Schizosaccharomyces pombe: one gene and its partner. The protein of the gene in region 2 interacts with the protein of the main gene of each other region in a biochemical or structural test. Each region holds a gene or a part of one and is shown on either strand. Other genes may lie near its edges. The genes, in order: rum1 and pop2.

Region 1 (10,934 bases), on a different chromosome or scaffold from region 2:
GATTAGCAGAACGATTTATAAGTATACAGTTGATTTTTTGAATATCTTACAAAGACTTAAAATTAAACAATCGTTGAGACCGTCAAAATCGTTAAAACTGACTTACGAATTATTCTAATAATCACTATATTCAATCAACGTAAATGGACAAGCATCGTTGTGGTAGATTTCCCCCTGAAAGATAGTAACCACCCTCCATTCTTCGCATTCTTTAGTTGAGGTATGTTAATTATATACTAAATGATTTACTGTTCTTTGATTTTGCTTATTCTTGCTCAATTATAGTTTGTTTTTAATAATTTGGCGACGGTAATCTCATATATAAAATCGATGAATTTCACATGAGTGAAGTAATAAAATCTGTACCCCCGGGCTCTCAAAACACTTCTCAGTGGATAATAAGTAAAGATCAGTTGGTATTTACTCCATCTGCATTAGATGGGATACCTTTAGATCAAGAAGAAATTCAAAGATCTAAAGGATGCAATTTCATTATAAATGTCGGGCTGAGATTAAAACTGTACGTTAATTACGATGTATCAGTTCAGTAAATTAATGAAACTAACAATAATAACAGACCTCAAACTGCGCTTGCTACTGCTAACATCTATTTCCATCGATTTTATCTTCGATTCTCACTCAAAAATTATCATTATTATGAAGTTGCTGCTACTTGCATTTTCTTGGCAACCAAGGTTGAGGATTCCGTTCGTAAACTTCGCGATATTGTAATTAACTGTGCAAAGGTTGCTCAAAAAAACAGCAATGTTTTGGTTGACGAGCAAACCAAAGAATACTGGCGGTGGAGAGATGTTATCTTGTACACAGAGGAAGTACTGTTAGAAGCTTTATGCTTTGACTTTACGGTTGAACATCCATATCCTTACGTCCTAAGTTTTATCAAAAAATTCGTGGCTGATGATAAAAATGTCACTAAGGTTGCTTGGACATACATTAACGATAGCACTAGAAGTATCGCATGTCTACTTTACTCTCCGAAAACTATAGCTGCTGCAGCATTCCAATTTGCATTAGAAAAGAACGAAATAAATCTCTCTACTACGACTGATGGGCTTCCGGTATGGATGGAAGAGTCTCAAGTTTCTTATGAAGACGTTAAAGGTATATTATATATTTTTTTATAGCCTTAGCACTAACAATGCAGGAGTGTTGACACTAATCGACTCGTTATACAAAAAGATAAACCCTTCCAAACAAGCCCTTCCAATCGACCAAAAAAACGGATCTCATGCTTCCAGCGTAGCTCCTGGGACACCGTCGTCATTGGCTTCCGTCTCGACACAAGCTACCCCTCAACATCAAAATTCATCAGGAAGAACTGACTCATTTCATTCCCTAAACACAGAAACCCCATCAAAAAGTACGGTGGACGACCAAATACTGTCGACAGCCGCCCAGCCAAAAAAATCATCTGATACAGATAAAGAGATGGAGACGGAAGCTTCATAAAAAAGAAAAATAATTCCAGATTGGAAATTTTATAAGTTATAAAAATTATTAATGCTATCAGCATCTTTATATTTATTTTTGGATTCGAATAAATCGATAACACGGTTTTAGAATATTGCTCGTAATAAAAGGCTTAAATTAAGTTCATGAGTATTTTTAAAAAGTAAATGCGTGAAAGAAATATTGCCGGAACTTAACAGTTTGACAACTTCATTGTTTGCTTATGAGTCAGAAACTCTACGAGGATTGTCGAGAATTCGAATGCTCCAGGGTTTTCTCTTTCTCCAAGCAATGAAACCATAGACAAAAATGTCCTTAAAAACTAATGCAGCAAAGGCACCAATAATGCTCTTCTCTAACTTTGTGAAATTCCCTGGAATAAACCTTCCCAAAAATTTCCCTGCTAATGGGAATAGTAGAATCGGTCGAACAATACGGAGAATTTTCGTAGTAAAAGCATCAAGGAAAACGTGTGCCACAGACAAAAGAATCCAAAATTCAGATTCTGTATCTTCTCTTTCGTTTACATCCTCGACTTGGTTACGATGCTCTACTTGTGCTTCAAACTGGCGAAACCAATCAGTTTCAGAATCTTCAAATTCCCCGTCCGCTCCAATTACAATACCGTCAAATATACGGGTCATTAGTTCCTTATATAAAGATCTTACCCAAGGCAGAGTGCACAGTAGAAGTGAGGTATTCGAAATCTTTTCCGCGCAACTATAAATTGAAAAATGCGTGTAGAGACTAAATGCTATATCATAAGGCGGAGCTTCGTAGAACCGAACCAACATGCATGGTAATAAAGGCAATACGACAGAGGAGAAAACTGGCTTTTTTAACATTTCTATCAGGCTGCTTTCATCTGCCACCTGTTTACATATCCATATTCCAGTCTGTTTGAATATTGAATAAATAAACTTGGTAATACCTAAACAAGAACCTACACCAAACGTTACTTGAGCTAGACCAGCTTCAAGGGAATGACCGATTCCAAGAACGTTTACAGCCCAAGACTTTTCCTTTGGCGGTTTAGCAATTCTATATGCGGTAAGACATTGAGGACAACGAGTACTGCCAGATCTGGTAATGTAAGAAATCAAACAACTTTCATGAGCAATGAGTGAACACCGACACGGACGTCTCCAAGAATCATTTGAAAGGGAGCATAGTTTTTTGTCGTATTCCTCATAGCATATCCAGCAGCGAGCACTGCTTTTCTCATACTTCGCGGTGTCCGTCATTTAGCAGAACCTCGGGGTTTTCCAATACAAAAAAGAAAATTTAGAATAAATAAAATAAACGCTTAACGTCAATGTTTCAAAACAAAATAGGTTTTAAAATATAGGCATTTTCCTGAACAAATTCTAACATAAAGATAGTTCAGTACTTTCTCATAAGTTTAGGAGCCTTAGTAATTAAAAAGATTGGGTATTGAAAGTAAAGTTGAAAGTGTGGAATGAACAATATAATTTAAATGATATGAGTAAAAAAGCTGTTTACAATTACTTGTGTAGCTTTTTTAATGCAAACGATTTTAGAATAAACTTCAAATCCCTAAAACTATCGTAAAGTAGTTCGTTTTGAGCGATTGGACGGATTCGTGGTGAAAGGTGGTTGAGTGGTTTCACGAGTGCTTGTCCTGCTACGAGTTGAGGGGTGCTGAGGAACGGAGGGCACATTACTGACTCGTGAAGGTGGACGAAGTCTAGAGGAAGTTTTAGAAATTATACTTTTTCTATTTGAAGAATTGAGACCATTATTAGGAATCGAACTTGCTACGGATGGCAAGTTGGATGTTGGTATAGTAGGAGCAGAGGAGGTGGCCGATTTTGGAATTGCGGATTGGCGATGACTTGCAAAAGATGAAGAAGGAGTCCTAAGTGAGTTTGGGTTAGAAGTCGTAGCCATGCTAACCCGAGAACGCACATTCATGGATGAAGACCTTGGGAACATGGGAAGGCCTAGAAGGTACATATGAAGATGCGGCTCTTCTTGCAGGTCGGACCTTTGGATCTTTAGACCTTAATAACCTTTGCTGCTGTTGTTTTTGAAGAGCTATAGCTTCCTCTTTTTGCCTTCGTTCTTGTTCAAGTCGTTCTTGTTCTTGTTGTAATTCGATCTTTCTCTGCTCTTCGGCTTGTATTTGAAGCATTTTTTGATGTTGCAATCTTTCTAATTCTTCATTATCAAAAGACAAACCTTTCCAGTCGCTATTTAGTATTAGATTCTGAGTATGCTCCGTTTGGCTTAGAACCGATGACCATAATTGTATTAGACGATTCGAGTTGTTAATGGAGGTTTCGAATGACTTTATTTTTTCTTTAGAAGCAGAAAGACCATCCGTAAGCTTTTCTATAGTGTAATTAAAGCTCCTTAAAATCTGTAGTTCTTGTTGCAATTCAGATGTCATGTTCAAAGAAAAAGATAGACTATCCTATTAACTGAAGACAAGAAAAAATCACTAAAAAATATATAATTAACTCAAGTATAGAAAATAATTTCTTGTGTGCAATTTAAGCCTAACAAAGTATTCGATTGAAGATGTGCGAATTGTTTAAAGAAATTCAGTACAAAGAGTAGACGAAGGTTGTTTTTATTTTTTTTTACAAAAAATATAATAAATTAAATGAAACAGTTTGAAAAGAAAATTGCAGCGACTCCAGTTGTCCCTTAGAATAAGAACGATAGGAAATATGAGGCAGAGGTTAGTGTTTACACAGGCAGAGAAGAAGAAATGAATTGAATAAAGAGTTAGTTATGTGCATTACATTTTGATAATAGTTTTTGAAGAGGAAACATATTTTTAATTTTTAATTTAACGAACCTATCATTTTAATTGTTTCATTTGGCAAATGCATTGATACTATTTATTGTAAACAATAGGTAATGAAGCGTAAAATAAGTCATAACATGAACATTCATTTATGAATATTTTAATTATTGACCAATATGTTTATAATATTTTTTGATAAATTATGTTAGTAGCGTATTCCTTAAACACATAAATAAACATTGTCACGATTTAATTTTTAACAATTGTGATATATTTTGGAAATACTTAGCGATGTAGCAACCGTGTATTTACTTTGCATATTGCTGTTCCCATTTCGATTTGAAAATGGTGTTTGAAAGATAGTCGATTCTTCATAAATCCATTTTTCCTGCATTTGAGCTAAGGTAATAAATATTGCTTATACCATCAATTTGCTAATAAGGAACAATCTTAACGAAATATCCCTTGAATTAGTTTTGATAGTACTTGCTTTTAAATAACAATAAGAGACTTATTTCATTTACCATACTCGCGAAGTTTCTTCTTTATTAGAACTTCAAATGTAGTTTACTTTTATTTACGGTTTTGCAGTCATATATTTTTATTTTCGAACTGGAATATTTCTATGATGCTTAAAATTGTTAGTAAATTTTTTAGATTTTTGCTAAAGAGAACAGAAAATCGATTCTCATTTAAAATCTAACTACACATTTATGCAAAAATTGTACTTGATCAAAGTAATTAATTTAGCGTACTGCGTTACAGCCATCTAATAGTAATGGTTACCACGAAATGAGCAAATAACCAGTTAACCAGAACGTCAAACATACAGTTCTACTACTACATACATAAGCTTTGGGTTCCTTGACAGCGGTTGTTGCAAACTGAATTTTTTTGTTTTGGATTATATATAATATACAATCAATTGATCTTGTTTAGTCTTGATTCGTGTGTGTTTACTTGAGTGCTGCAGTAATATATTACTAAATTGTACGAATTTGGTCAAAGAGAATCCGCTTTTTTATCAGTTTTTTATTTTTAAAATTTAATTTTGAATTATACTCTTTACAAGGAACGGTAGCATCTTTATAAGAAATCGAGCATTCAATTTCTATGTGAAAAAGTTGAATTCGTCTAAGCAAACAACCAACTAGTTTTTAAATTCTAACATTAGAAAGAATATTTTTCCTTGTTAATTATTCTATTTACAATTTTAAAGTTGGCACATATCTTTTTTTGATTGGTTGATTCTTTGATATTTTAGCTGCACTTACTTCTTGGTATGAAGTGAAATTTTGCTTTTTAAAATAGACATTTTCCCATTCCCGTTTTCTAAAAGATTCCTTTTTTTTGTTTACTCCGAAAATTTCAATACCTTTCTTACAAGCTACAATCCCATTTTGTTCCTTCCTTTTGATATATTGAAGCCATTTCAATTGTTTCTATATTATTTCAAACAATTTTACAAATATTGTTTAAATTGTATAATTATCAAAGCGCAGTCGCTAGCTTGGTGGGTATTAAATTGTTACCTTTTCGTTTGCTACAGGTAACTTGTGAACATTTCTGGTGCTGAATTTTCCTACACCCAAAAACCATTGAAAAATACATTTTTTAAATCATATCGGAAAGCTTGAATACACGCTCTTCTGATAATCCGCTCGATACATAAAGGATTTCTTCTTGCATTTACCTGGTTTTTGGATTGTCAGTTCGCTATGGAACCTTCAACACCACCTATGCGAGGGTTGTGTACTCCATCTACCCCAGAGTCTCCTGGGAGTTTTAAAGGAGTCATCGATGCTTCGTTAGAAGGTAATTCTTCTATTATGATAGATGAAATCCCTGAAAGCGATTTACCAGCACCTCAAGTTAGCACATTTCCACCTACACCTGCTAAAACTCCCAAAAAGCAATTACTACCAAATTTAATGCTACAAGATCGGAGTAATTCTTTAGAAAGATGTATGGAAGAAGACAGAGAACACAATCCTTTTCTCAGTTCATCTGATAACCAGCTTTTGTCAAGAAAGAAGAGAAAGCCTACTCCTCCTCCTTCTGATGGTTTGTACTATGTTTTTCGGGGGAAAAGAATCAAGAAATCCTTCAGGCCTGGAACTGATTTATCTACTTTTAAGCCCAAACTCTTGTTTGCTGACTCGGCGCCTTCTTCTAGTTCAGATAACCCAACATCCTCTGTAGACCTTAATGACTATTCTCAAATTGGCATTCTCCCTCCAAACCTGAATTCTATTGGGAATAAAATGTTCTCGTTAAAATCAAGGGTTCCATCTTCCTCGTCAGGTTCCTTTGTTGCTCCCCCACCGCAAATGCGTTTACCTGCGTATTCATCACCACAAAAATCACGATCTAATACAAAAGATGAAAACAGGCACAATTTATTACGATAACTTTTTTTCGCATTTTGTAATTGTGTTTGATACCGTTTATATAAATGCCCAATCACGAAATACTCTTCTGCCTTATTCATGATAATCGTTCGTTTGAACTTTTGGTAGTAGATCAGAACCTCCTATTCTCTATTCTTGATGAAAATGCATTTTGACAAACGCTGGTCGTTAGTCATTCATGGTAATATCACCACAATATCACCACGATTTTCTTAATTGAGTATCTATAATTACATTTCCCCATCTTTCCATTTGTGCCTATTCATATTCCATTTGGCAACTTAATTTTTTATCGTCCTCCCGTGTCTGCCCTGAGCCATTGCAACTTTTTTTAGCAACCTTTTACGGCATGCTTTGAAATATTATACGTTTAACTTATTTCCTAATTTCATCCACTGAGCTTTTACTTTAAGACTTATACTAATATTACATGGCTTTCACAATTTTCTTTTCTTTGTTCAGAGAGTGAATATATTCTGAAATGTTGTATTTATCGATTAGTTAATAATGCTATTCGATTTCTAAATTTTTTGCTGGTTTGGAAACTATAGTCTGTTATTCTCAATAACTAGTTTTATATTCAATTGTTTTATCCCAGTAATAAAAAGGTATTTTTATACCGCATATACAATACTATTCTAGGCTTCTTAGACAGTTATACACATTACGGTATTGCTGTTACATTGAGTTAATTTGTGGTTTGGTGATATAGTGAAGTTTACTAGCTGGTACTGAAATCCTACAAATGGATAACAAAACTGGTTCTAAGCGTATGAAAGGAGTCTTTGGGTAAAATTATAGTGTAATATCGTTTCGTTCATTGAAGTAATAATTAGGCCTAACCGACTCTACTTGACTAACATTTTTTCTTCACACCATGAAGCATGATGAATAATGTATTTATTTATGTTACCTGAGCGGTAAGATGATTTGTTTACATAATGTCACTTTTATTTACATTTGCACTGCAAAATGACAACAAGGAAGCCACTTACATCACAGTGAAGTTCGTTAAAAATTCGTAACTCTTATATTTACATGGTACCCGTGTTTCTCCCCTCTACCATACTGAGCATATAAAATAACACAAAAGTTAGTGAATCATTTTGTGGCATATCCGAACACTCCTTAGCTTTTTACGAAGCAAAACAAGAAACGATTAATAATATCATCTATCTTTTATTGAAAGTCTAGAGTTTGCATAAGTCGAGGCTGTTTACTCATAGGAACACAACATGATCGAAACAATCCCAACGAAACCATATGAGGGCCAACGCCCTGGTACATCAGGTCTTCGCAAGAAGGTTACTGTCTTTGAGCAACCAAATTACGTTGAGAACTTTGTTCAAGCTACGATGGATGTAGTTGAACCATCTGCCAAAGGAGCCCATCTAGTTGTCGGTGGTGATGGACGTTATTTCAACTTTCATGCCATCCAAGTCATTGCTGCTATAGCTGCTGGCAATGGTGTTGAGAAGATCATTGTTGGTACAAATGGATATCTGTCTACTCCCGCCGCTAGTCACATTATTAGGAAGTACAAGCTAACCGGCGGTATCATTTTGACCGCTTCTCATAATGCCGGTGGTCCCAAGAACGATTTCGGTATTAAATATAACCTTGGCAATGGTGGACCAGCACCTGAATCTGTTACTGAGAAAATTTATTCCATTACTAAAACCATATCCGAATACAAAATGGTAAAGATTCCTCCCTTGGATTTAACGACGACCGGTGTCCGTAGATATGGCCCATTGACGGTTGAAGTCATCGACCCGGTCAAGGATTATGTTCAGTTGATGAAAGAAATCTTTGACTTTGATTTGATTCGCAGCTTCCTATCCAAAAACCCCGATTTTACATTTGTCTTTGATGCTTTACATGGTATCACTGGTCCCTACGGTGAGGCTCTTTTCTGTAAGGAACTCGGTATGCCTTCATCAGTTTGTCAGAATTGCAAACCTCTTCCCGACTTTGGTGGTGGTCATCCTGACCCTAACCTCACTTACGCCAAGAGTTTGGTGGCTCGTGTTGATCGGGATAACATTGTAATGGGAGCAGCATCTGATGGTGATGGTGATCGTAACATGATTTATGGTGCCAATGCATTCGTCACACCTAGTGACAGTGTAGCCATCATTGCCCATCATGCCGAATTAATTCCATACTTCCGTGATGGAGGTGTTCATGGGTTTGCTCGTTCAATGCCCACATCTGGCGCCATTGACAGAGTTGGCAAGTATAAGGGAAAGAATGTGTATGAGGTTCCTACTGGTTGGAAGTTCTTCTGCAACTTGTTTGATGCTAAGCGTTTATCCATCTGCGGTGAAGAGTCTTTTGGAACCGGTAGTGATCACATTCGAGAGAAGGATGGCGTTTGGGGAATCTTGTGTTGGTTGAACATTCTTGCTGGATTGAACGCGCAAAACCCCAAGATCAAGACGTTGATCGATGTTAAGAAAGATTTTTACAATATTTATGGCCGTACATTCTACAGTCGTTATGATTATGAAGAGTTGGAAAATGAAGCTGCCGGTAAGGTGATGGATAGAATGCGTGCCATTGCCGATGATAAGAGCAAGGTTGGAGAGGCAGTTTTGCCTGGTTTTGTCGTTTCTGAAGCCGGTGATTTTGAGTATCATGATCCCATTGATGGTAGCGAAAGCAAGCATCAAGGATTATACATCAAATTTGAGAATGGTAGTAGAATTGTGACACGTTTGTCCGGTACTGGATCCAGCGGAGCCACGTTACGACTCTACATGGAGAAGCACGAATCAGATTCGAGCAAGTTTGATCTTGATGCTCAAGTTGCATTGAAGCCAGTGGTTCATGCAGCTCTTGAAATCTTGGCTCTGGAGGAATTGACTGGTCGTAAGGAGCCAACTGTCATTACTTAAAGATAGTATATTTTATCATTGAATTTATGAGGTTTATTAGCTGAATTAAAAAACTACTAGCGTTTTAACGAATTATTTGCACTGAATTCATGAAAATCATGAGCAATAACGAATTACATTTTTTTTTACTAAACCCCTTGAGGGTTTTTCTTCTCTTCTTTTTTTTTAATAATACTTTGTATTACTAGGAGAAATGAATAAAAGCATTTTTACCATGAACCAACTCGATTGTTTAAAACTCAAATATGCATAGAGAGAGAGACAGACAGTAGGATAGAGGGATTTATTATTGGGTTTGCATAATGGAAAAATGATCATAAAGTAAACATTAGCTTGTAGAACGGTTGGGAATTAAACGGAAAAAGTTTATTTCTAAAACAAGTGAGAACTTGAATATAGATTTTAAAAGGAAAACATTTATAAATATTTTCTTAATGACTATGCTACATGAAAAGGAATCTGAGGAGTTGAAAAAGATACTTAATATGGAGTTGGGCATACCGAATGATGTATGAGAAGAGGAATGCTCAGTACCGTTTGTCCTAACGTAAAGTATTAATAAATAAATGTTGAATGCGCGCGATAAAAATTAAGATACAAATTATTTTTACAAATGCATATTCCTATACCATTCGAATGAATTTCAATCCAAATACCCATTTTCAATAGAGTGTGCGGCATACAAAAGGAAAGAGACACACTACAGCGGAGCGGTCAAGTAACATTCCAGCAATTGCTAGTCAAGAATTTGGAGAGTCGTCTTACGATGGGTATGGAAAGTAATGAGGAAAATGCGTTACCAGCCCTTTAGGCAAAAGTCTAGTCATTTTAGAAAAAAGAGTTTAAACTTTTTTATGCTTGTTTGCAAGCAATTGCAACAATTCGCTGAAGTGGAAAGATGGATCAGCGGGAATTGATGAAAAACGTGTTACTCGGTGCGGAATCGAGATATGAAATTGAGTAAGAGTAGAAAGGAATTGATCGAGAAACGGAAAAACTAAGGGAAAAGAAACATGCTAGAGTTAGAAAAGCTAAAACGTTAATTTGAATGGTGTTCAAAGACCGTGGTTTTAAAGATGTAAAAGCAATGGGTAATGGGTATGTAGGTAGTAGTAGGTAAGTGTGAGGATGCGTTAGTGAGTATGTAGAGAAGAAAAAAATCGAAAGAAAAGAAAAGAAAAATATAATAAGAAAAAATAAAAGAAATAAACCATCTGAGGCGAAATGAAGGCGCATAAGTCGGGTAGATGCGTATACACTAAAAGTGCGAGTAGAGACTAGTTTACTCAATACATCTACGCAAACAAAAAGTACTTGCGAACCAAGTGTATGGAAAGGAGGAGAAAAAAGAAGAAACGTTACAAAAAAGAAGATGAA
Region 2 (11,317 bases):
AAGGCAAATGTATTGTTTAACAGCGTCAATCAATGGTGTCGGAGTTGAAGTTGGAGACCTTATTTTCACATTTATGTCCGAAAGGATGTTCATATAAGTTCGAAGAATATGATATATAAGATGCAAGCTCATCAACTTTGATCGCATCGATTGCGACTTTAGGTCGTATTCATGCTCATACGGAATGTTTTTAATAGAAAGCTTACATAAAGCTCTGATTAACAAAAATGCATCCCGAAGCAACTGTTGCTCCAAAGAATCCTCTTCCAAAGGAGCTTCTTCACGAACCTGGTCAAAGCTTTTTCTGTGCTCGAAAGATTCAAGTGTGAGTTTGTTTTCTGATAATTGAGAAGGTATAGGAGAGTTAGCACGATCAGCTAAAACAATAAGTTAGTATAAAGAACTAAAAACATGATGATTGCTTACGAGTTCCATTACTGGATGATTTATTCATGTTAATAGTAGAAAATTCTCTTTCATGATTAAGAACGGTAGAAAGGCGCTGGAATACTGAATCAACCATTTGTAAAAGAGCTACCTGAGCAATGGCTTGGGTAGTTGAGTCTTTACATAAGAGGAAAATATTGTAAGTTTGCCTCACTGCTGTAAGTAAAAACGAATGTCTAATGATTGTCCTTTCAGAAGTAATAGCTGCCAATAAAGCCTTTACAATTTGTAGCTGCACTCTTTCTGGAGTAGACTCACCGCAAAAACAGGATGCAATAGTGTTAACCACACGTTCCATTAAGGTAATATCCGATGGATTTAATGTTGGGGAATCAAAATAATTGTAATCAATCAGCTTGGCAAAGCAATCCAAAGTAATAGTCAGCAACGTTGTACTATTTGTTTGACAAGCCATTACCAAAGGTTCCAAAATGACTTCGGGAAGAAGAAATGGCTGCTTTTGTAATTCTATTTGGACATTATTGATAGCCTCCCTAAGCTTCTTATGCCGTTTTGTAGCCTTTGCTTTTGACATATGCTTAAAAGCCTCAATTACGAAGAGTTGAGGATTGAGTTTGCCAGAGTTTTGGTTAGAGGCGTTTGAAATATTCTTCCAAATCTTTAGATCTTGTGGAGCTTCAGAAGTAGATGTAGTCTGTTTGCTCAGAGTACCTGTTTGTTCACTTTCAATCGAACGTGAATCTAAGTCATCTTCTGGAGGTCTTAGAGATAGATTGCTTTCAATATCTTTTTCCGCTTCTAAGTTTTTATCGTTAATTTCTATACTTTTTTCAGTATTAGACTGTTCAGGTATGGAATCATGTTCATCTATTTCATCAGAAACTCGACTTTTGATTGTTGATTCACTATCCGGTTCTTCTTCGACAACAGACGATCCTTTTACTTCATCAGGATTACTAGAAACCCTACTAACGGTTTCTATCTCCAAATCTGTCATTTTGACATGTATGATATTTGATGTTGTAGCTATGCAGCTATGAAAGTATTATAGTATGAATGGATGGGTACGTATACTACCACTCTGCACACCACGAACCAGATCATAATTTTTTCTTTGAAAATTAACCATTGATTATATCCCTAAAAAAATAAAATTCATTTCTTTGTAATTTGTTTGATAATTTAAGCTAGAAGCATGCTTCGAATTAAGTACGTTTTTTTTTTTTTAATTAGAAAATCTCATTGAACTTCTTATAGACGAATTTATATTAATAGTTAACTGGTAGCATCTATTGTTGATGAATCAAGGCTCTTTTGTTAATATACTGACTCAAACTATTAAAAGTGTTAACTAGTTCTTAAATATTAGTTTTCATAAGATAATAAGAGTATCAATGATTAAACTACTACTGCAGAATACGCTTGTTCCGTACTAAATGCAAATTATTTAGGACGGCATAATGCCTTGCCAAGTTATGTTATTTATTGTAAATAAGTATATTTTTGAAACGAAAAAAACGATAGAAAAAAACTTTTTTATCAATTGAAATGCCACGTATGTTTGCGAATTTCTCTTTTTTCTGCTTCAACGTGGCTGTCCTAATGACAAAAATCTTTAGTGAGCGATTGCAATAATACAAAAAGATAGAGCGTAAACTCTCAAGCAAATAAGAAAAAATTGGGAGATGGGATTTAAACAAATGGAAGAGCAACAAAAATGCTCAATCACTAAAACCGGAATTCTAGTATTCATCAATCATAATATATGTATTTTCCATATTTAGAATAACATACTTACAACACAAAGGTTCTCAATAAAAAGAAGACAAATTGTGCTCGTAAGAAACCATAAATCATATGAAGCCACTCGGAATAATGGAAATAATGCCAAGATTTGGTAACAATTGGGCCTTGGGAAAGAGCTCTAGCCATCACCGGATCATCAGATAAAAGTCCGTCACAGCCTCTAATTAAAGCAAGATAGATAGAAGAAGGTGTGTTTAAAGTCCATGCAAAGACTTGTTTACCTTGGGCATGAACGAGATCAACAAAATCCTGAGAATGAGGAAGTAAAAACAGAGCAACAGCCATACTGACACCCTTTACTCTGGGATGCATAACAAAATGTCTTTCAGCATAAGCGAAGTTGAATCCAATATGATATAACGGAATTGATGGGGCATATCGATCACAAGCAGGGATGAACCTATGTGACCATAAACAAAACGATACTTTGTCTTTCCAAAAGTCTAAATCAGAATTAACCCGAAGCATTGCATCAACCATTCTGGGAATAATTAACAAATCGTTTACTGGCTTAATGTCAACAAGTAGATTGACGCCAGGATGCTTGGTTAATTCATGCAAAAATTGTTCATAGGTAGGTAACGGCTCGTGAGGCTCTTGAATGGTACGAAAATGACCATTATCCAATTCATAATCAAGATCTCGAACATCAACATCAACACCGAATACTCTGTTAAGATTTCTATCATGCAAAATGCAAACCACTTCATCTTTAGTTAGTCGAACATCTGTTTCAACGCAGTCAGCACCAGCCTTTACGGCTTGTTGAAATGCTAGTATAGTATTTTCAGGATACTTAGCTTTGTATCTGTAAACATAAGTTAAACATTTGCTAAATTGGAGAAGGATTTTGACAATTAAGGGTACAAAGTTGCAGATATGAAACTAAGTCTACTAATAATAAAAGCAGTATGCAACTAATACATTCATAAAACATACCCTCTATGAGCAATGACCAAAGGCGGTTTTGAAAACGTGGCTAAAGAACTCGTATTTTCAGCAATGCTTTGAGCAGCATCATCAACGGTATTGGCAATTGAGTAGTTAAAAGCCATTTTGAAGAGAACGATGTTGGTATTGGGAGAAGTAAAGAATGTAGCAACTATATACCAGTTACTGTAGTCCGATGATATCACTCCGCTCCGCTCAGGTTGCAAAAAAGGCGTTGAAGTGATTCGTCGAAGTCAATTCAGTATAACAATATTTTATATAGTTAATTTACGATAAAGGAAGGAAAACATTTCCCTCGCAAAAGAAGCGAATTATCCATCAGAATTGTAGATTCAAATCATATATTTCAAACGCTGAATGCAATTCGCATCATGAAGTTAATAGAGAATCATATTCTGCTAGCGATTGTTGATTAAGAGGAGACATACTTTCGTCGGGTTCAATGGTCTGAATAGCATCCGACATTATACCATAAAAACGATAATGAGTATCTTCAACCTCGTCTGTATTGGGAGTAAGAGGTTGAATCAAAATTAATGTTCCAGTCAAGGGATCACAGTTCCAAAGAAATCCTTCTACTGGTAAACGTCCATTCTTAAACAGGACGCGCAGGTAAGAACCTCTACGCTTTTCTGTTGTGTGAGAATCCATTTCATTAATTATTCAAATAATGTGAGAAAACAAAAAAGATAAAAAAAACATTAATAAAAACCAAACTTTTTAAAACACGGTTTATGTTCAGGTCAAAAAGTAGTAGCAATTTTCGGTAGCTGTATGAGAGGCGTGGAATTACAAGATGAGTATAGCTTCCGTAGCAGACGTAAATCAAGTATGTTTTTCATTCGAACCCAAATTTTTAGTTGTTTTTGAATTTATGAAACTGATACTTAGGCCATTATGGTTTTTTTTGCTAACAATATACCAGCAATGGGATTTACAATCAGTTTTCGTATTAACTTCCATAAAACTTATTTTATTTATCAACGAACATCAAATTCTAGCTCAGAAAAATAAAAAATGCATATATTTTGTTTGAAAACGCTGCTTACGCTAATCTGTATCATATAACTTCTACTCAATTTTCTTAATCCATGTTTCCTGTTTTAGGTACCGCTTTATATTTATTTACTTAAAAAGTATCAATTCATGTATCTTTTTATTACAAGTTTTGCATTCGCATTGTACGAACTTTTGTTTACAAATTCTCCGCCAGAACTTGCCTCCTACCACACACAAAGATTCTGTATGGTATGAACAACGCATATTGAGCTTCTGTTATTTTTTCAATTAAAAGATTACTTATAAAAAAACCTTTCCATTATTCATTTTCTCTTTATGCCCGCACTTTTTAATCTGTATCTAATTTCGGCATATGCCAGTTTTTGATTAATCTGTAGAAACAAACCATAACGGTGTTGTTTCTTCTTTCCAATCTGTCAGTAACTTTTTCATTGGTCTCTTTTCCAATTTATTTTCAGATTGTTTTATCGACTGTTTTCCTTAAAGCTCATTTTTGACTTCTTATTTATTTCAACGAAAAATCACAATCATTGCATCTACGCATGTCACTCTCTAGGTGTCCAACTGACAATTCGTCCTCCCGTATAAATTCCTCTGTTCCTTTAATAAATAGCAGCAGCCCTGCTACACCTCCAGAATCATTTGATCCTCAAGTATTTCCTTCTTCACTTATTCATGGGGATAACCTGCTTCCTCAAGATGATCAAATTGCATCGGATCCTCGCTCAGAATCAAATAGTTGTAATGGCAATACGAGTTCTTCCCTGCCGTGCACTGATTCGTATCAGTACCCATTAAAGCATTCTTGTACGCCTTCTTTTCTTCGAAAGTTTAATGAAAGTATAGAGAATGTCTCTTATAAATGCTTAGACCACTCACCGCCAGATAGTGTTCCTGGCGATTTTTCCATTTCCCTTGTTCCTCAAAGGAATTTTCTATATTCTCATTCTTCTCTTCCACCTAAAATTATATCAATTGATAGAAACAATCGAATTAAGTTAGATAATAGCATTTCATCTAACTCCGACAATTTCCCTCCTTCTCCGAAAGTCGACACATCAAACACTGTTTCACCTGGTAGTAAACCTATCTCTGAGGATCTTGAAGATTTAAACTTACAGTCAATTGTTCAAACTTTTGAGGATCTTCCAGAAGGAATTCAATCTTATGCGTTTTTTCAACTACTCCGTTCGTGCAATCGGCAATCGATGCGTTTATTATTGAATGAATGCGAGCCGCTTCTAAAAAAAGATATACTTTCAAATCTTCCTTTTTCCATTGTTCAGTCTATATTATTAAATCTGGATATACATTCTTTTCTTTCTTGCCGTCTTGTTTCGCCTACTTGGAATAGAATACTTGATGTGCATACTTCATACTGGAAACACATGTTTAGTTTATTTGGCTTTCAAATCAATGAAAATGACTGGAAATATGCTAATCCAAACTTAAATCGTCCACCTTTTTTGCACAACGACCAAATCTCAGATGACTATTTTCCGGAAATTTTCAAAAGACATTTTCTCAATAGAAAACGATGGTTATTTCCTTCGATACCTCCAAGTCATCTATCTTTTCCCATTCATGTTCCAAACTTTATGATAACTTCTTTACTACTTCATAAAGACAGAATAATCACCACTTCGGGATCTGGAACAATTCAAATTCATAATGCTATTACCGGTGTTTTAGAAGCTCGATTAGAGGGTCATAAAGAAGGTGTTTGGGCTGTCAAAATACATGAGAATACACTTGTATCTGGTTCGATCGATAAAACTGTTCGCGTTTGGAACATAGAGAAAGCTAAATGTACGCACATATTTAGGGGACATATTTCCATCATCAGATGCTTAGAGATCTTAGTTCCGAGTCGTCTTATTCGCCATGGAGTTGAAATTGTTGAACCAGATCAACCGTACATTGTCAGCGGCTCTCGGGATCATACACTTCGGGTTTGGAAGCTTCCAAAAAACACGGATCCTCCTTATCTTCCAGATAATACAAACTCTATTGACCGTTGGGAGAAGAACCCGTATTTTGTACATACTTTGATAGGACATACAGACTCTGTACGAACTATATCCGGCTATGGTGATATACTTGTGAGTGGGAGTTATGATTCTTCAATTCGCATTTGGAGAGTTTCAACAGGGGAATGTCTTTACCATCTGCGGGGTCATAGTCTTCGTATATATAGTGTTTTATATGAACCAGAAAGGAATATTTGCATAAGCGGTAGCATGGATAAGTCCATTAGGGTTTGGGATTTATCGACAGGGACTTGTAAATATGTGCTTGAAGGCCATGATGCCTTTGTTACGCTTCTTAATGTATTCCAGAATAGGTTGATATCAGGTTCTGCTGACTCCACAATTAGAATATGGGATTTGAATACTGGGAAACCATTAATGGTTTTGCCGTCTAATTCAGGCTACATTAGTAGCTTTGTGTCAGATGAACACAAAATTATTAGTGGTAATGATGGTTCTGTAAAGTTATGGGATGTTAGGACTGGAAAGCTGTTACGTTTTCTATTAACAGACCTCACAAAAATATGGCATGTCGATTTTGATGCTATGCGTTGTGTGGCTGCAGTGCAGCGTGATGATCAAGCATATTTGGAAGTTATTAATTTTTCCGGATCAAGACCGTAGAAAGTTTCATTTTAACAATATTTAAGAAGACATAATTAGAGTAGTGTCTAACTATTTACATCAGCTACTAACACATATTAAATGTATACAATGTAAAATTAACAGCCAAAGCCTATCAAAAGTAAATAAGTAACGAAGGATTGAATAAATTATGCTGGTTGGTTTTGTAACTGGTATTGAATTAACATTGGGAAAAACTTCCAGATAGAAAAATCCGGCCAGTAGAAATCGATGAATTTTATCTCCGTATTTTTGTGACACTGATAAAATTAGTTGAATATCTTTGACTAGAAAATTAGGAGAATTTTTACTTACCTGCCATAACATAAAATCAGATAGACGCTCCACACCGCTAGTGCGAATCAACAAGTCTAAAGGAAGACTATCTTTTATCAATAGGTTTTTTTCAAATATATCTTCATCTATATCTTCTGGAGTGATTGTACCATCTTCTGCCATTTTTACTATTGATTGCACAGAAGTAGCAATTTCATGTCGAGAAGTGTATGGAAAGCAAACATTTAATGTTGCCCTAAGATGTCAATTAGCAAAATAAAAATTTGAAAAATTTCACATACTTTGTGTTATGTTTTGTAATTTCCACAGCCTTTAGAGCAGTTTCTAAAACGTCAGGTTGCAACCTGCTAAGATCGCCAACAATGCGAATACGGATCCCATACTGATCAACCAAATCACCATGAGCAGTAATTTGCGTTAAGCTGTTTTTTGCAATCTCCATTAACATATCAACTTCATATTTAGATCGCTTAAAATTTTCAATGGAGAATGTGAAAGCCGATACTTCTTTAACTCCTAACTTCAGACACACTTTTAATAGCTTACGCAGGGTTAGTTAATGTACCAAATTGTGCAGAACGTAGACGGATACCAATGCGCAAAACATGGAGAAACGGTACGTTTAACCTTCTATTAATGTTCTTTAAACTTACAGATTTTAAAGCTTCAAAACCTGAGCTATGACCCTCGATAGTTTCCATCCTTCTTTGACGAGCCCACCGTCGATTGCCATCCATTACAAAGGCTATGTGTTGTGGTACTTTGCCACGTTTAATTGTATTTATCATCATCGTTTCTAATTGATCAAGTGTCCATTGTAATGGAGGACAGTGAATAAACCAGCCTGATAAATTACCCATATTGTCAAGATATTTTGTCAATTCTTTTCTTTTCCTTTATAAATGCACGCTAAATATCAAAGAGAAATAATTATCTTGATAAACAATTATTTTCAAAAAACGATTAGATGTTTTTGACGCTTCTATAAAACACTCAGGTTATCCGGTTCTAGATATGTTTTATAAGTATAATTACCAAGCACGCTAGAAAAGGATTTTTAGCTAAGGAAATATACTTTCAATCGTAAACGAATGGAACAAAGAGACGCTAGTTTAAGACCAAACGCTTTTGTATTTTTTTTTAAAAATCACGAAAGAAATATTATTTTTTGTACAAATAAGTAAGACAGACAAAATTCAAACAAAACCACAAAATACTGTTTTCAAAGTGAGACGTGCGACCTTTGGGTCTAACTAGTCTAACGCAAGTGTCTCAGAAATGAAGCCAGTTCATTTAAGAGTGTCGTTAAGCCTCCTTATTTTTAATACCATCCTTAAGTTACGCTAATTAGAATCAAAATATTACAACTAAAGACTTTTCGCTCAAACCCTCTACCAGCACTTTCCTGTTCAAAAGATGAGGCCTATCATTTTACAGGGTCATGAGCGTCCTTTGACTCAAATAAAATATAATCACGATGTAGGTTTAATAACCGTCCATTATATGTGGAAAATTTACTAATTTTTGTGTGTAGGGTGATTTATTATTCTCATGTGCCAAGGATAAAGTGATTAATGTCTGGTTTTCACACAATGGTGAACGCCTAGGTACATATGAGGGTCATACTGGTGCAATTTGGACTTGTGATATTAATAGTACGTGAAAATTGGTGGTGATGTATGTTGGATTAAGACATCTAAAGGTATACGGATTATGGAAGTATAAGGAAACACGAATAATGAAACATATCATGACTCTAATAAATGTATTTTTTTTATTAGTCGTCCGATTGCAGATGGTTATACTCGTGATCCACGATTCTGAGTTGGCGTAGTACTTAAAGTTAAATATGCATGGTGCATCTCCTTTACTTATATTAATGCTACGTTTACCTCACTTCACTTCCTCGTGGAAAGCATTTAAACTTCTTTTAAATCCTTTTCCTTCTTCTTGATGCCTCAAATCCAACTAGATCATCTGTTCCTTTTCCAATGGTTACTAACTGAAACAGAAAGTAGCACTTTAATGGTTAGTGGAGCCGCTGACAATACCATGCGTCTTTGGGATGTTAAAACAGGAAAGCAGTTGTACAAGTGGGAATTTCCTACTGCTGTCAAACGTGTTGAGTTCAACGAAGATGATACCCGTATTCTTGCTGTTACCGAGGAACGTATGGGTTATGCTGGTACCGTCACTGTTTTCCGTGTTCCTATTTCGGAAAGCGATGCCGCTGCTGAAACCCCCCTTTACGTTATTACTACTCGTGAATCTAAAGCAACGGTCGCTGGATGGTCTTACTTGAGCAAGTTTCTCTTTACTGGTCATGAAGATGGCTCCGTTTCCAGATACGATGCTATAACCGGAGAATTCGTTGAATCTAAACAAGTTCATAATTCTGGTTCTACTATTACTGATCTTCAGTTTTATCCTGATCGTACTTACTTCATCACTTCTTGCAAGGATACGACTGCTAAAGCTATTGATGTTGATTCTTTTGAAGTCATCAAAACATACCTTACTGATACGCCTCTTAATACTTCTAGTTTTACTCCTGTCCAAGACTTCGTTATTTTAGGAGGTGGTCAAGAAGCCCGTGATGTTACTACTACTGCTGCTAGACAGGGTAAATTTGAAGCACGTTTTTATCATGCGATTTTAGAAGAAGAGTTAGGCCGCGTTAAGGGTCATTTCGGTCCTATCAACACAATAGCTGTCCATCCCAAAGGAACCGGTTATGCTAGTGGTGGAGAAGATGGTTATGTTCGGGTGCACTTCTTCGATAAAAACTACTTTGACTTCAAGTATACATTGTAGGTTAATTTTATTCAAAAAACTGTTGATAGTATAGTAATGGACAACGGAACTTTTTTCCAAAGATGTATCATTTTCGTTTAGGGAGCATTATATGAAAAATAACCTTCTATGAGTACAAGAGTTTTTTAATAAATTCCATTCAAAATTCAAATGTTTTAAAGTGAAAAGTAATGTAATTGTCATATTCCGTAAAGCAACTAACTTATCAAACGCTTCTTTTAACGAGCTTTTGAAACATGTTTGAGGAGAACAGCCCCAGAAATTATAATTGCTCCAAACCATATGTAGTTGTCTATCTTGCTGTAGGCTGGAGTCGTTATTTCTCGATAACTAGGTGTTTTTTTTGGGAAGTATCCCAAAAGTCGGTTGATGAGATTTTCGTCGAGCATGGCAAGTTCCTCCAAAGACCACAGTTCGCAAATCTCAATCATCCATCTCATTCTTTTGCGACTGTTTTCAGGTTCGGGAACAATGTCTCGTAATTTTTGTCGTAAAAGGCCAGTTTTTTCCAATGCCATACCAGTAGCTGGATTGATTGAACTTTCGATTTTTTTTCGTATTAAACTGGCAAGTTTTGGACCTTTACCATTGGTGCTAACCATAATTTGTAGAGGGCCGTTACGGATTTCAGACCCAAAGTAGAAATCACATTCAGGTGGAATATCCGCCGCATTGACCGGGATTTTTTTGCTTTTGCATAACTTATAAATTTCGGAAGACAAGCTGGGATCATCTATGGCTGTAAGTACCATGTTTACATCGTCAGACAAATCTTCGACTAGAAATCCCCTGTCTCGCCATTCAACTTGCTTCTCCTGTATTCTCCAAGCCACTTCTTTACAAAGACCAGCTTTTGGACTTACAACGATAACATGGGCATCCGCATTCAAAACATGCAATATACGCCCAGCTGCCACAACGCCACCTCCAACAATTAATACTTTTTTACCTTGTGCACGCCAAGCAATAATTAATGATCTAAAGCTTAGATTAGCCTAAAAATTACCTTGAGATACATCAAAAAACTTTGCTAGCTTTCATTTTGTATGCTTTGCTAATTTTTCAATTCTGTGTAGATGAAAGTTAAGATACTAAAAAGCTGAAAATGATTTATAGAGCCTTGTAACTTCATAAAGATGCTTGACTTACCCACCAGGCTGCACAGACTGATATTTTGAAGCCATTATTCAAATTTTATCTTAACCAAGTGTAGGTGTTCCTGTATACTTGAGAATTATAGTATCGCCAATTACAATTCGACATTCAGTATCTGCTTCCCTATACGGGTTAATAGTTGGGAATCCTATTACGCGTATACTATTCGTTTATTTAAGACCTAAATTTTCCAGTGAATTAAAACTACCTTG

The links.
Region 1: the proteins of pop2 (region 2) and rum1 form a complex in vitro, tested with the Schizosaccharomyces pombe proteins (one study listed by BioGRID).

The regions. Positions count from the first base shown.
Region 1 is NC_003423.3:2,794,625-2,805,558, forward strand, and holds rum1 (CDK inhibitor Rum1), read left to right. Parts: upstream 1-5,052; 5' UTR 5,053-5,964; coding exon 5,965-6,657; 3' UTR 6,658-7,293; downstream 7,294-10,934. Other genes in the region: P-TEFB-associated cyclin T Pch1, read left to right, coding at 342-520, 578-1,122, 1,166-1,470; SPOM_SPBC32F12.07C (MARCH family ubiquitin-protein ligase E3), read right to left, coding at 1,692-2,714; pgm1 (phosphoglucomutase), read left to right, coding at 7,893-9,557. UniProt on the Schizosaccharomyces pombe protein: Regulator of cell cycle G1 phase progression. Ensures the correct sequence of S phase and mitosis in the cell by acting as an inhibitor of the cdc2 mitotic kinase. Probably interacts with cdc2 to inhibit its action until the cell mass for Start is reached.
Region 2 is NC_003424.3:5,350,404-5,361,720, forward strand, and holds pop2 (F-box/WD repeat protein Pop2), read left to right. Parts: upstream 1-4,383; 5' UTR 4,384-4,727; coding exon 4,728-6,839; 3' UTR 6,840-6,982; downstream 6,983-11,317. Other genes in the region: Sec7 domain-containing protein sec71, read right to left, coding at 1-377, 427-1,405; pgc1 (glycerophosphoryl diester phosphodiesterase), read right to left, coding at 2,203-3,022, 3,154-3,269; SMN complex subunit Gem6, read right to left, coding at 3,535-3,816; rer2 (cis-prenyltransferase), read right to left, coding at 6,989-7,099, 7,155-7,371, 7,418-7,677, 7,790-7,996; sum1 (translation initiation factor eIF3i), read left to right, coding at 8,553-8,615, 8,671-8,791, 9,148-9,950; met8 (siroheme synthase), read right to left, coding at 10,169-10,928, 11,100-11,134. UniProt on the Schizosaccharomyces pombe protein: Involved in maintenance of ploidy through proteasome dependent degradation of CDK inhibitor rum1 and S-phase initiator cdc18.